2 linked regions of the Drosophila melanogaster genome follow. Changing the gene in region 2 together with the main gene of any one other region gives a genetic interaction. Each region holds a gene or a part of one and is shown on either strand. Other genes may lie near its edges.

Region 1 (7,566 bases), on a different chromosome or scaffold from region 2:
ATCGATTAAAGACAACGCGTGTAAGTGTGTGCGTGTGTAGGAAAAACCGAGCTGCGAATTAAAGATGGATGAGCAAGTGCACGAGGGGAGAGCGCAAGGGGAGCTCCAATAGAAGAGAGGGAGAGCGCGCGCATGAGCGGGAGAGGTGGGGAGTGTTTGCATAGGTCCTGGTTTCGCCCCTTTTCGCTAAGCGCTTTACAGTTACAGCTTACAGCTTACATGCTAAGCAAATGGTAGCAAGAGAAAGAGAGGAGGCGAGGAGTGGAGCGAATCTCCCCCGTGATTGCGCTCTCACACTCTCTTGTTTTTCTCGAGCAAATAATTCAGCAAACATCGAGGAGAGCGCAGAGCGGGAGAAAGGACACTAAAAAAGGGCGCCACTTTTAATGTGGTGAGGTAGGAATGTTTCATTGATGTGTGTGTGTGCAAATCTCCAAATATGTACATACATATGTATGTCTTCTGCACACACATGTGTGTGAGCAAGTGCCCAGCCCGGGCAGAAACAAAAAAAAGAAAAGTGGGCGGGTTTCGTTTCGGGCATGAAAAGTACTGATGAAGCCAAGCACAGAACGCAAGACAAATGGCCCAATCTACAAAGGGGCTGGACCCCCGCCCACTATTAAGTAACTGTAACTCAAGCACCGCCACAGAACGAATTAATCGAGTGCAAACCGCAAGCGCAGGTCAAAAACCTTAGCACTTCATCAACGGATCAAAAGAATTTTGTGCCAACTACCGGGTATCCCCAATTCCATATATCTAAGCATATCTTTAAGATAACTTTTTAGAGTTGGTCCATTATCGCAATTCACTCTTGATTCAGCAAGGTGTATCCCTTTGAGTCATGGTTCAATGAAGAATATTTCAAGTTATTTACATTTAAAGCTCAAGTAATCTGCATCGTAACACGAATCCCCTAACCTTTACAAGAATTGAAGTATACATCAAGAATCTTATGATTATACTGAAATCATTGGGATGATCTACAAATAGACCGATGACATAGATTTAAAAATCTAATGTGCCAAAGTAATATGCTATAAAGCAATGTTATTAAAGTCATATGTATCTTGATGAGGTAATATCCAAAAACTGGTAAAGTAGGAAGTTGGAAAACAACCATTAAAGTTTATTTTGAAACTTTGAGATTTGCATTTAATCAGTTGCTATCCAGCGAATTAGGTTACTCGTTACGAAAGGGATTATAAATTTCGAAAGCGCTGTTTTAGACGAAAACACTATGCCATATGGTCCAGAAACAAGAATGATCCGTATCGAATGGGGTTGAATAACCCCTTTGGGTGGTGAGTGGCAAAGTCACCCTGTAATTTGATGTGAAAGCTGCAGCAATTGAAATCACTTACCTCATGTGATTCTCTTGGCCCGATTCCGCCGATTTTACTGGGGAGGCTCGCCAGGAGCGGACTTGAAAGTATATTTAGACGGATGCGGATGTTCCTTTGGGCAGGGCCACCTGCAAGCAGAAACGAGAGGGGAGACATGGCAACAATAATAACCAGTGAGCAACAGTTTGTTTGCGGTGTTTATGTTTACGCGAAATATTCAAACGGCCCGCGGTACAGTCTTCCCCTTTTCCCTTTGCTTTCAGTTTTGGTTCCACTTCCACACACACACACAAACACATGCATACTTGCATACGTGTGTGGGAAGAACGGACAGGGGGGCAAAAGCAAATCAAGCGAAAATTTATTTGCAGTCAATATATGTATATGTACATCCATATGTATGCAAAAGTCACCAACACAACGAAACTAAGGCTGCGTCTGCGTGGAAAGAAGAGCAAAAATATTCTAACTCTAATTGGAAAGGGAATGGGAATTGGAATTGCCTTCGGGGGGGCATTGCAAATTTTACATTTCCAACTATTCCAATTCGAAACGAGCAGTGCTGTGCGGTGCGGTTTCGGTGCTAACAAATCAAATTAATTGTATCTATATCTAGAAGAGCTGTATGTGCGTGCATCTCCTCGACCAGTCAGTCTTCTCTGCTTTTCTTCTAGATTCTAGACGGGGGGCCTCTCCTCGTTCTCTCCCTCTCACCATTCTGGTTTGCTTTTGGCTGCCAGCAGGGAAAAAAAGTTGTGTCTTTCTTGCCATGCCGCCTCCTCTTTGTTCCCTTCTTACCCACTGCTTTTCGTGCACTTTTGTACACGGTTTTGCTTTTTTTATTTTGTTATTCTCGTCTCGCCTCTCTCTCGCTCCTGCCTCTCTCCCTCTCTTTGCCTTACATTGTCTCTCATTATTCATTGAACGACAACGGCAACGTCACCCCCTATCCCCTGGCCCAGCAGCAACAACGTTTTGCACGAACGACGCTACGTACAATTCCCAGCCGCCTAAAGCGGAAAACCAATAAAAACGAATTGAATCGCAAAGCGTAAGTACAAAATAAAGCGAGGAGGCGAGACAGAAAAAAATGAAAGCTGAGAGAGTAGCTAACGAGCGAGCGTGAAAGAGAGACAGAGAGAGAGAGAGAGAGAGAGAGACAAGCGAGTACAGGCGGCGCGTCGATACAAGTTTTGCCTTTTGGCTCACATTCTATATGCCGAGATCCGAAACTCGAGTTATAGTTATAATTATTGCCGCTGCTGCCGCTTTTTATTTTTAAGTTTGTTTGGCTGTCGCTCAAATTTCGACCGAGAGAGCGGCGAATCGAATGGGAAAAAGAGTGAGAGAGAGGAGAAGGAGGATCAAGTTGGAGAAACGTCCGTCACATTTTCATTACAGCCAATTAGTGTGCATTTCATAATTGTTAAACAAAACACAGGCACACATCTGAGCACAATTGGAAAAGCTAAAGGAATTGGAATCGGGAGCTGGGTTCTAACATATGGCGGCGAAAAAAGTGCCAATACGGAAAGCGCCACCGATCGCTTAAAGTGCTATAGTTAATAAATTTTAGAAAAATGCAACCCTGCGTCTGCCCTCTCTCGCTCTAAAACTTGCAAGAATGACACGATGATGACGTTAATGGAAACTCTGTAGCTGTGGATGTGCGCGCAGCTCATACACAAGCACACACAGATACTCTCGCACTCGCACACAAAAACACTCACACACCAATACACTGACAGCGAAGTCGACCGCAAAGTCATTTGATTAATAATTCTCGCATTCTTTTTGGCCTGCGAATTTCACAAATAAACTCAATTGTTTCCAATCAGCCCCGGTACTTGTCCCTCTCCCCATCCCATCATATCCGACCCACCCCCTCTAGCAGCTTCTCCCCTCGTACAAAACACTGCATTTTTTACAAGCTTTAAAAAGGTTGTTCGGTTCGTTCTTATGACGCCAGTATATGAAAATTTACTTGATATTGCAACGGTGGTGGTGGCGGGCACACTCTCCGGCGAATGTGTGTGTGTGTGTGCAACAGTAGTGGCAATCAGAATCGAAACGCCGCGCGGGTGAGAGGCGGTGGTGAACGGCGAACAGAGCAAAGCAAACTGAAAACTGAATGAGACGCGGAGGCAGCAGAAGGCGAGCAGGCAAAGGCGACCGATGTAAAAGTTCTTCGTGCGGCGCGTTCGGGCGGCAGCCGAAAGCACAAAAGTCCAGTGGGAGAGCCAGTGCAGGCGGTTTGGCTTTGACGAGGGATCAATTGATTCGACTCTTATATTTAAAAGTTATTTATTGAACTTCCTAAGTGTGGCATAATAACAAGGCTATCTGATTATCTTATTGAAAATTTGACAGTCAAATATCAAATATAAGTTTTTTTTAATAATATGGCAAAGGCATAACAAATATCAGGTAATGAGTTGATTAGCTTAGAGCTGTAAAAAGCCCAATAATCCCAATCCAATGCTAAAAAAAGTTAACATTTACATAAGCCAGTGAGAAAAATAACTTTAATAACAAGGCGGTTTATCTGATCGGAATACATGAAAATTTAAAACACTTATTAAAATAATTCAATTTAATCTTTATAACCTTATATTCAAATGGAAAAAGTCAAAAAAGCATTTATAAATTACTGATTAAAGTATCCCTTTCAACAAATTTTTATATTAGATGAAAACTTAAACTACTTTTAGCATTCAGAGTAGATAACTAGCCAAGCAGCACCTGCACTTACTCCAATTACAAAAACTGGCTAGAGAGAATCCAAGTGGCCAGCACTGGCAAGAGGTGTGGAGGCAGCGAGAGAGCGAGAGCGACTACGAGAGACACCGCAAGATACAGATACAATGCGTGCTCGAGCCCGCATGTGTGTGTGTGCGTGCGATTGCGTTGTTCTTATTAACGATTTGCTGCCGCTGTCTCCGCCGCTCCCTCCACCAACCCCCTCCCGTTGTTGTGCTGCTTTTTCGGGGCTTGGGCACAAAAAGGCGGCAAAACGGTTAAGCACACAAATTCGGCCGGGTCCAATTGGCCAATTTGAATACGAATGCAAGAGTCGCCAATTCGAATTGCACTCACCAGCGATATAGTTACGTTTTATCCATAGACCAGCGAGCTACCACTCCTTTTTCTGCCTGCAGCAGCGTCCCTTTTCAACAGACGCCGTTCCCGGATTGCTCAATGGCGATCTTGGTTTCGTGGCCCGATCTTGCACATCACTCTCCACTGGTCACTAACTGCATTGCGCGCACTGTACACTTGCGGTTGGCCATTTAATTAGAGCGGTGCCTTTATTTTCTTAACATTTAACGCGGATCCAGAGTTTTAGTTGCGGGCGGAAGAGCGAGAGAAGCAGTGTATAGAGCTGGAAGAAGTATCGATATGACATCGATAGTTCTCCAGAGCTGGCAGTGTGACCGGGCTGCTTTATTTTCAATGTAATTTTGAAATATACCAAATACACAAAAATACCAAATTAGGGATGGCACTGCGTCGATAGCTTTGAAAATTAAGTTTTTCGTAAAGTATTTTATAAATAATAAAAATAATTAGCAGCGTAAATTTAATAAGTTATAAAGTGTAATTGGAATTATAAGATTTTCTGAAAGTATAAACTTAAATAGTAGGATCTTGACTATTTCTAAAGAGTTTTTTTTTTGCATTTGCAAGTGGAGTATTTATAATGTTGAAAATCAATGTGTTTAGGTGATTATCAATACTTTTCCACATAATCTTGTTCGAGATTTTTGAATCCATATTTTGTGGGAGGGAAAGAAAATAAGTGGATTATACAATACATTTTATACGATTTTCGAAAGAAATCCTATGATCGATCTTCTTATTTAGAATAAGATATGTTTCTAAAATGTTTTTATACATAGAATAGCCAGAAGTCCTTTCTATATAAAAAAAAAAAAATGTTTCAAAAACTTTCTGTTTCATATGGCCATGTTTTTGACTTCGAATAAGCGCGCTTTCGTTTTCAAAACCCACGTTTTCGAAAAAAAAGTGACAAAAACTAAGTTATAGAAAGTCTATTTCTTTGATTTGCTTTTATTTAGCTTTATCGTAAAATAAATTACAAAATAAAATACATTTTGCATATAATTCGTATCCTTATATGTCTAGTACATTAATTTACTCACAAATCTTTTGGGTTAATATTGCGCTGTGCTCCTTGCAACTCTCGCTCGGATTTTGTTTGTTTTTCTAATGCTAAGAACCAAAAAAAAACAAATCAACTTGCCGCAGGCCGCGCCCCCAGAAAATCGATTTGTGCCTGAAGCCTGACGCGGGGAAGCCGAATATCGTTCATCGTATATAAAGCTAAATGGAAACTATATAAGAATCACACGAAATCATATTGAGTTATTAAGAAAACATGGATGTAAGGTAAACAAATTAAATTCGTAACAAATGTACAGGGAAATGTTTTTCTTTTCTTTTTTTGGGCGCGGACGCGCTAAGTAAATGACAATTTGGTGGCCGTGGCCAACCGTTGAGATTAAATTGCTTAGATGCCAGCTGGATTAGGTGGCCAAGTCAATTACAATATTATTTAAGCCGTTTTGTACAAACAATTCTCTACTGTTCGGTTTAGGTTTCTGTATCTCTTTCTGCTTCTGTGATCTTTCGTTTGGCAATTGGTTACGCGTTGCTGTAGTAGTACTTCTGTGTCTCTGTTTAAAATCATCATCCAAATCCATGACTGCATCGGTAGTTTCGCTTACATACATCGATCGCATGTACGTATATGTAAAAAGTGGTCCTTAATTCGAGACGTGTGGTTAAAACGCTTTTCTTCGTGTATGTATATATTGTATATAAGACTGTGATTCTTTCTGCACGTATTTGGGTGTTCCTTTTAGAGTCTGTGTGCTGGCTAAAAAGCCACCCGCAAAAGCTTATGCAACCGGGTGGCCTACGAAATGTATCTGAATCTGTGTGCAAAATCTGATTCAGCGCAGAGCTACGGTTCTCAAATGACGTTCGATCGGACTACGGACTACAGAGTACGGATCTCATTGCTGCTGTTGGTTGGTTGTTCGGTTTTAGTAAGCTAATATAAATCACGATAGTATGGCCACGCTGCGTCGCGGCCCGCCCTGACTGATGTTGTCCATGGAGGACCACTTCTTGATCCCATTCTTCAGTGCCTCGGCAGTGACCTTGTCCTGCATCACACGCGACATGGCCTCCAGCTTCTGGGCCCGCTCCTTGGACAGCGGCTCCGTGGGGAAGTTGAGCTCGTTGGCCTCGGCGAGCGTGCGCAGGTCGAAGTAGTATTTGGCGTACACCGAGGACGGTACATTGATGTTGAACTGCAGCAGCTCGAGGAACTGGCGCTCCAGCTCGTTCATGTCCTCCACGGTGATGTCTTTGAGTATTTGGCAGTAATCTACATTCCAAACGGCCTGGTCATCCCACACCTTTGAGGCGAGGAGAATGGCACCTGCAGAACATCAATAGTAGAAATTAGTAAGCTATACCAAATTAGTGATCTACTGCTTGTTCTGAATATCTGATGCTTGCAGCACTCCACTCACCCAACACCATGCGCTTCCAGTTGCAGGGTCCCACATCCAGCTCGGCGTAGGTGAGTAGCCGCTCCAGGTAGACTAGCGTGATGATCGCACACTCGGCCGTCAGCTGGGCGGCGTTAAAGAGCGTGCGCACGAACTTGTAGATCTGCCGGTGTTCCGGATTGTGCGTGTCATAGTTATCCGGCACCTGGTCGTGGGTCAGCGGATGAAGCTTCTCGTCGAAGATGTCCAGCCGGCGATCCGATTGCCGATTCTTGATGTGATAGTAAATGGCCAGTGAGACGCATTTGACCGTATTCTTAAGATTCGGCTGCGACACAGTGCTGTCGTCCAGATAGATCGTCGAGCAGGAGGAGCTCTTCTTCATGCCGCCACCACCGCCGCAACTATTGCCACCGGGAGTACTGCCGCCGCCACCGCCGCCGCCTCCTCCGCCGCCGCTGCCCGCCTGCTGGGCAATCTGCTGTTGCGAACGCTTGCGCGTCATGCCGCCGTTCTCCACCTTTGATCGTTCCAGGAACATGGTGGCTGCAGTGGGATCGACCGACGGATCCTCCTCGCCCTCCAGCGCCTCTCGCTCGGAGATGTGCTGCAGATTCTGCTGGTTCTCATAGTTGTCACCGCCGCCACCCTGCTGATTCTGTTGCTGATTGTGG
Region 2 (7,612 bases):
ATGAACAGCATTCAGTTTTGGGGCTTCTTACTGACATGTGAAAAGGACACTACCGTGCTGGAAAGTTTTCGAAAAAGAAGGAATTGAACTGTGAAATCCCGGAAACTTGCGTGAATTGAATGAATTCTTTTATCGCCAGCAAGAAAACGAAGTACTTCCGATGCACTGATTTTTCCCTTTTCTTTCATATCGGCGGAATTCTTCTTTTTGGGCACACTTAACTTTATCAAAACAAGAGCTCTACTTAATTGAGGAAAAAAGATGACCCTAATAAATAATATATATTGTATACTATATATCACATGTTATATTCATATCATAGTTGGTCTTATCTGGTATTTTTACATGATATTATATGATGGATGAACACCAGCATCTTTTAGATCGTAGTACAAATAAGTGAAATGGAAAGAGTAACCGATAGCGGCGTGAATTCAGAAATTCAGCAATTCAGATAAAACGACTATACAGACTGCATTAACTGGAAAGCGTGCTTTAATCCCATATGATTTACTTATCTTTAATGAGTTTCATTTTAAAGCACATTTCTTCCAACGAAGATAATTTATTGAAAAGAAATGTCAAGAGGGTCGCTCGAAGATAAAGCAAAATAAATGACCCTATTCGGAAGTTGTAATGAATATAAGTAATCCAAGTAGGCTGAAAATTCTGAAAATTTTCCAATTATTTACAATTTTATTTCAATTCAGCTTGTTGCCTTGGAATCGAAATGAAACGCTAACTTCTCAACTTAGTTATATGAAAATATATTTATCTAGATCTATGCTTGGCTAACAATTAGTTAAACTTACTTATTCTGATTGCCGTAGAATCCACTGCGACCCTTGTGCATCGCAATGCTGAATCCGAACATCGAGTTGCTGGACTGCCGGAAACGGACGTAGCTGGGCAGGTCGATGTTGTAACCATGGGCGGACATGGCGATCAGGAGCAGAATCAGGCTCGTTATGGGGCAGTGAAGAGCCATTCTTCTTCGGTGGATGGAATCTCCACTCATTTTGTCGACTTTCTAACTTCTTTATTCGCTGAGCTGATTACTTTACTTTTTGCTGTATTTCTACTTTCTCTCGAATTTGTATATCGATTTCGTTGGGCTTGCATCCAAGAACTTAGCACTTTACGCTTGCATCTTCACAGCTGGCGATCGGAATCGAGAATTATTATAACATATGGTCAAAAGAGACGCACACACACGCGCGGCTTTATTTATTATATAAACTCAACCTTGGCCAACATGAGTTGAGATTCCAAAAACGAAAACCGAAAACCAAAAAAAAAAAAAAAGAGCATAAAACACGAAAGCCAAAAACAAAAACTATATTCTTCAACTCGGCAAATGCTGAGTGTCTCTGTTTTTTAGTATCTCCACATATCTCTATCTCAACGTCTGCGATCTTCCTCTCTCATTCGCACCCACTCGCCCGCTCTCTCTCTCTCTCTCGCTTAACATCATAATCAAGATCTGTTGGCCTTGGGAATCGCGGAGTGGGCGGGGTGGTTAGGGCTGGTCGGATATCTAATGTCTGAAGTCGGATGTCGGGCCAATTACGAGTATCTTTATTACACGGTTCAGTTTCTTTTCAAATTATTCGTTACTATTAAACTGTCAATGCCAAAAAATCAATAAAATGCATGTCATCCGATAATTTGAACTTATTTTTATCGATTATTATTATATTATTAGGTTTTAATTATATTTCTTTGCATGTAAGGTTGTTTATATTATATTTTTATATTTAGTAGCTTTTGTTTTCATTAAAACGGTTTCTTGTTAATTTTTTAACAAATCACTTTAGGTTCTCACTTCTTTTTATTATTTATTTTATTTTATTTTTTTTTTGTTTAAATGATTTCAATCATCTCCTTTTCACTGCAGCAAAATGCTAGGGTATCAGTCGGGTCGTTCATATATTGTTGTCTAATTCTAAAATCTGATTTGTTGTTTTTAGACATTTTTGACGGTTTCATGTTTGCTTTTGGATTTTTTTCTTTTTGCTGCATGCTTAGATTTTGGCGCGTTCTACGCTCAGCATCGCGATGATGGTGATGGTGACGTAATGGGCCGTCAAACAGGTTGGCCAAAATAACAAAATAACGGCCAAAAAGCCATTAGACTTTTAGCCAGATTGAAAGCCAGCCAGCCAGCCCTTCCCACACAACTTTAGTTTAAATTGAAGATAACTTTCAAGGAAAAGTTGAAAATGCAATTGGTATCGAACGATTCAAAATATTATTTCAGTTGCAAGTACTTGAAGAAATCAAGACCTTAAGTAAGTATTTGAGCTGGATATTTTTTGCAGTGTACGTAGGTTTCTGTGGCGGAAAAGAATCCCACAAGTTGTAGGCGGTTTTGTGCAGGTGACATTTGACACATTTTCCACTTTTTATGCCCAGTTTTTCCGCCGAGTGTGGGCGATTCGAGTTCATTGATGGGCGGCTGCCATTCATAGACAAGAAAATGAATTATAATTAAGCGAGAGAGAGGAAAAAAAAACAACCTAAAAATTCGCTGTAGAACGCGCCATATGGTGTACACCATTTAACATTCAACAAATTGATCATGCGGCTGGCATTCAAAATGACTGGCGAATGTGTCAATATAAATAAGACAGTTAATTTCGTGGCCCACAAATTGCAGGCTAAAAATTGAAATGCGTTGCCAGGCGAACACAATTGTTAACTGAAAGTTGCTAAATTTGCATAAATAACTTCCTAAGCGTGCAATTTGCATTTAAATGCAAAAGCTGGCGAAAGTTTCTAAAAATATTTCTTCGTTTCCCATTTATTTGATCATCATTTGAACTTGTAACTACTAATTAACGAAATAACCTTCAGTTTTGAAGTAAAAGGTTTGAGACCCTTTTTGAACACTTCTCTTCTTTTTTTTGCACATCAATTGAATATATTTGGCAACAGTCACTACTGGAATTGCCATACAATCTTGCCCAGATGGTTAAGATATGAATACGAAAAAAAAACACATCAAAATAGTGGAAAAAACGATCATTGTCTAAAAATAAATCTAAAAAGTTGGAAGCTGTGTGCTACGCCCAGCAGAGTCCGCCTATATCTAGGTATATATGCACATGTATATATAGACGTGCATATACAGATCGAATTCTACACTGCACAAAATGTCGGAGGTGCAAACACAGCTGCGACATTAGTTTATTGATTTTGGCTTTTGTGTTTGTGTTTTTTTGTCAGATTTTGTTTAATATGCGTATATTTTGGGAATTTATTTGGTCGGTGCACTTTTCACTGGTGCTGCAACACTGGAAAAAAATGTTTCAAGCAATTTGTTGGCGCGTCGCGTGTTGTGCTGTTAATAAGTAAAGTTCACTTTCAATTGGTATTGTTTGTATTATTTATATTTTGATTTGCTATTTGACATTTGGTGTTTGCTCTACCTCGGCAGCGAACGCAGCAAGATTTAAACGACGACTAATGGCGCACAGTATCTGTAAGATACATCTTAGCACCGCCAGAGATACATGGGTGAACTGCTCGTGCCAGATCGCCTACTCAATACCCAACCAATGTAGTCTCTAGTTTTTAGACTCGGGAGAGCGATCTCGGAACAAACGCAAAGCTCTCAAACAACCAAAACGATAGCAAAAGTTTTATTTTTTCATTATCTACACATGTATGTAGCGAGCATCCCACTCGAAAAAAATTTCAAAGGTGAGTTTCGTGTGGGAAGTCTGTAATTTCCGTTAGCAAAAGTTTCGACCATTTGATGTGTCATTTTGTTGGGCCATATGTACATATGGAAGAACGTTTATTTCGAAAATGGAATCACATATAAATTTATGATTTTTATGTTCATATACACAAGCTTATATCCATTCGGAAATTAAAAAAATGTATATATTTTTTAAAATTCGAAAAAGGTAAATACACTTTTTTCAAAGTTTTAACTAAATGAGCTTTGAAATCTATAAGTTTTAATTGCACGATATGCAACATTTTCGCATGTGCGTTGGTGCAAATTAATTCTGCCTCGAAAATGAGAACGCTGCAGTGAAAATGGGTTTTCCCATTTATCCAGATGGTTTAGATTCGCAATCACGAGATCTCGGAATGTAGTGCAATTCGACTATACGAGCAAATTCGCCGGCTAACCGAGGCAGAGCAAACTGGCAATGCAAATTAATGAAAACAAACAATGAGCCCTCGAAACTCCGGTAAACATTTTCGATGGCTGGATATATGTATCAGATAACACGCAAATATAAATGTTTCGCCGTTCAATTACCATCGATTGCATTTGCATACGCGAATTTGAATCAAAACTGGCGCCCGTTGAATTTCCGTTTCGAACGCGAGCGCTCCGCACTTTACACCAGGCAACTTTCGCTTCACGCCACCGAATGCAGCACTCAGATGGCTAGCAATTCCTCAGATACAATTTCAAATTTCACGCAGGGATGCCAGATCGTTGGGCGATTCAAAAGTGAGCGCGACGCGCTGTTGAGAACGATCAACTTAAGTGTATAATATTGAACTAGAATAGTTACATAGTGCATAAGGAATATTTATGTCTTTCAATTTTAATATACTTTAAAGATGGTCAATTCCAAATGGGTACTTTAATTGTTAGGTTTCATATTTTTATGAAAATGTGTATTAATTGCTAATTTGTGTGGAGATAAATGTTTCCGTTTCAATGCATTATTTTAATGGCTTCTAAATGTGAATTGCTGATATGCTCTTATTTAAGTTAATAATTTTATGTCGTACCAACTTGCTTTTACAAGTTTTTTTTTAAATCTAATAAATAAATATATTTTCAAGCAATATCGATAGCGCTGCCAGATGTTTACATATCCTAATCAAACGCTGCCATACCGCTCGCAGATCAGCCGCTTGTGCGGTACGTTTTAGGTCCACGGCATACCTGCTGCCATTGGTCACACTGGCAGATTACGCGATTATTTTTTTTACGGAAAGTCTGCGTTTTCCCTTCCGGATTGAATTGCCTGGATTTGCTGTGATAACTCAAGCAAGCTAAGATGCACAAGGTGATCCGGCAAATGTCCCAGCTGCGCCTGCAGGCGCCACAGGGAGCAGCGCTCCTCCGATCGGCGGATAGCAGCTCAATATCACCAGCCATATCACCAGTTTCACCACCTGCCCTCCAGTCGAAATCCCTGCACACGGCCGCTTCCGCCGGAATGCTGTGCGCCAAGTGGAACAAGTACAACTACGGACCCCGCAAATGGCTGGAGTACAACAAGACCGTGCATCCGCCGCAGGAAACGGACGAGGAGCCCAGAAATGCTGTAAGATACATATTTCGAACGCACTGCTGTTACCCCTCCAGCTGCAATCCTCTAATCCACTTGCATTGCACAGTATGTCTGCCACATGCGCAGCAACATCAAATACAGTCCGGACAAGATGTGGTACATCGCTGCCTTTGTTCGCGGAATGTCCGTCGACGAGGCGCTGAAGCAGCTGAACTTTGTGCTCAAAAAGGGGGCCACCGATGTGAAGGAGACCATACTGGAGGCCCAGCAAATAGCCGTGGAGCGGCATAACGTGGAGTACAAGAGCAATCTGTGGATAGGTGAGCCGCAGGGGCACAAGGAATCTATGTATCCACTATGAATGATGGATTATCATTAGTTTCTTCATCACTAACCATTATATTGATGAATCTTTGTCTGTTCTTACCTACCAGCCGAATCCTTCGTGGGCAAGGGACGCGTCTTCAAGGGCGTGAGGCGGCATGCTCGCGGTCGCTTCGGCAAAGTGGAGTACAAGCACTGCCACTACTTCGTGCGCCTGGAGGAGGGCGAGCCGCCGCAGCACTACTACCAGGAGCCGCAGACGCCGGAGCAGCAGTACGAGAGCTGGATGGAGCAGATGCGAAGCCGGAAGATCATCAACTCGCTGTAGCCACCTGAATTGGCACTCGTATGCAATCGATCCGCACTCCTGCAGTCCTCCATCGCCATCGCGTCCACGCGCATTAAGCATTTTTTTTGGTTTTAGAAGATTGTTTAATAAAATAGAAACAGACAAAAGAACTATGTCAGAGGTTCATATTGTTCTTATTTTTACTTAGAGGAGTTTATTTTATTTAGTTTTGCGCGTATATACACAATGGATATTATTGGTTTTCTCTCTGGATGCCCGAGAGTTTCGGAACTCTAGTTGAAGTCAGGGAATGTTTGCAACTGTAAGCTTAAAGTAAATAAACTAATTCGCTCCAGGCGAATACTACTAATAATAGCTTACTAATTTATGCAAATTAATGCAATTTCGGATGTTTCTGAACGCAAATCCTAAGTATTTACTGATAAATTAGTTGTTTCTCTTTTAGAAGTTGTGGTTTAAATTAAAGTAGTCATTCAATTGTTAGCCTCTTGACCAGACCTTCTCACTCCCGTCCCTTTGAATGGCCTTTTGCTCTACTCCTGCTCCTTTTCCTCTTCATCCTGCAGGGTCTGTGCCAGCAGCTCCTCGACGGGGTCATCCTTCAGCGACTGGGTGATCTTTTCGAGGACCAAAGGCTGTCGCTCGCGCACCGCCTCATCATCTTCCTTGTCCAATTGCAGGCAGGCCAGTTTGGATAGCCTCGAATGTTTGCTGCGTCCAGCATCGCGTCGTCGCTTGCGGGATGTGGACTTAGTTTTGCCCCCTTCTCCAGTCTTACTCTTGTCCTTCTTCTTGGCTTTCAATTCCTTTTTCGTCGCACCATCTTTGTGATCCCTGAGCAGATGTCTCGCCAGATTCTGCGCACTGCTGAAACAGCGGCCGCAGTCCAAGGCCTGGCACTCGAAACGCCTGCCCGAGTGGGCGGTGAGCATGTGCTGGCGTAGATTCCTGAGGTACGAGTAACTCTTGCCGCATCCCTCCTCGTTGCAGGTGAAGGAGGTGGCGCACTCATCCGTCTGCGCCGCCTCCTTGTGCTTCACCTCGAGGTGACGCTTCAGTTCGCTCGGCTTGTCGAAGGCACTATCGCAGCGGTCGCACTTATGGCGATTCTTGCCGTGCAACGAGTCGCGACAATGCTTCGTATACAACGTCCATTTGTCGAACTGCAGCGGGCAGCCGGGACACTCGTACAGCTTGCAGCTGGGCTCGTGACTCTGGCACTGCCACTGCTGGTAGAAGCCGCGCGAGCACTTCGAGCAGCTGTACGGATACTCCAGCGTGTGCTCCCTGATCTCGTGGCGCTTCAGCTTGAGCTTTTGCGAGAATTTGGCACTGCACTGGCTGCACGGATAGACCTTTGGGCTCTCGTGGGTTTCGCGCATGTGGCGGGTCATGTTGCTAACCGAGATGAACATCTTGCTGCACTCCTCCAGCGCGCACTTCACCGTCTTCTTGGCCGCCGACTCCGGACGCTCGTGGGTGCTGCGCAGATGCCTCTTTAAGTGCGTCACAATCGAGTACGTCTTGTCGCAACCCTCGTACGAGCAGGCGTGCTTCTTCTGCAAAGTGGTGGCGGCGTTACTACTGGCTTACACTTAACATACTCTAACTATACTCACAATCCCTGTGTGATGATACTCATGGCGATCCAATTGGTCCAGCCGCTTGAATGTGGCCTCGCATTTGGGCATGCTGCACGCGTACT

The links.
Region 1: of if (region 2) and crol, changing one enhances a phenotype caused by changing the other (phenotypic enhancement), as found in Drosophila melanogaster (one study listed by BioGRID).

Annotation. Positions count from the first base shown.
Region 1 is NT_033779.5:11,804,681-11,812,246, forward strand, and holds the start of crol (crooked legs), read right to left. Parts: upstream 4,759-7,566; 5' UTR 4,446-4,758; intron 4,293-4,445; exon of another isoform or gene 3,334-4,292; intron 1,478-3,333; 5' UTR 1,368-1,477; intron 1-1,367. Other genes in the region: CycY (cyclin Y), read right to left, coding at 6,437-6,819, 6,914-7,566.
Region 2 is NC_004354.4:16,779,039-16,786,650, forward strand, and holds the start of if (inflated), read right to left. Parts: upstream 4,397-7,612; 5' UTR 4,280-4,396; intron 3,508-4,279; exon of another isoform or gene 3,432-3,507; intron 2,037-3,431; exon of another isoform or gene 1,826-2,036; intron 1,159-1,825; 5' UTR 1,019-1,158; coding exon 813-1,018; intron 1-812. Other genes in the region: mRpL22 (mitochondrial ribosomal protein L22), read left to right, coding at 5,037-5,306, 5,380-5,593, 5,708-5,925; CG9609 (uncharacterized protein), read right to left, coding at 6,441-7,466, 7,527-7,612. UniProt on the Drosophila melanogaster protein: Alpha-PS2/beta-PS is a receptor for Tig, wb and Ten-m. Involved in the function and/or development of the olfactory system.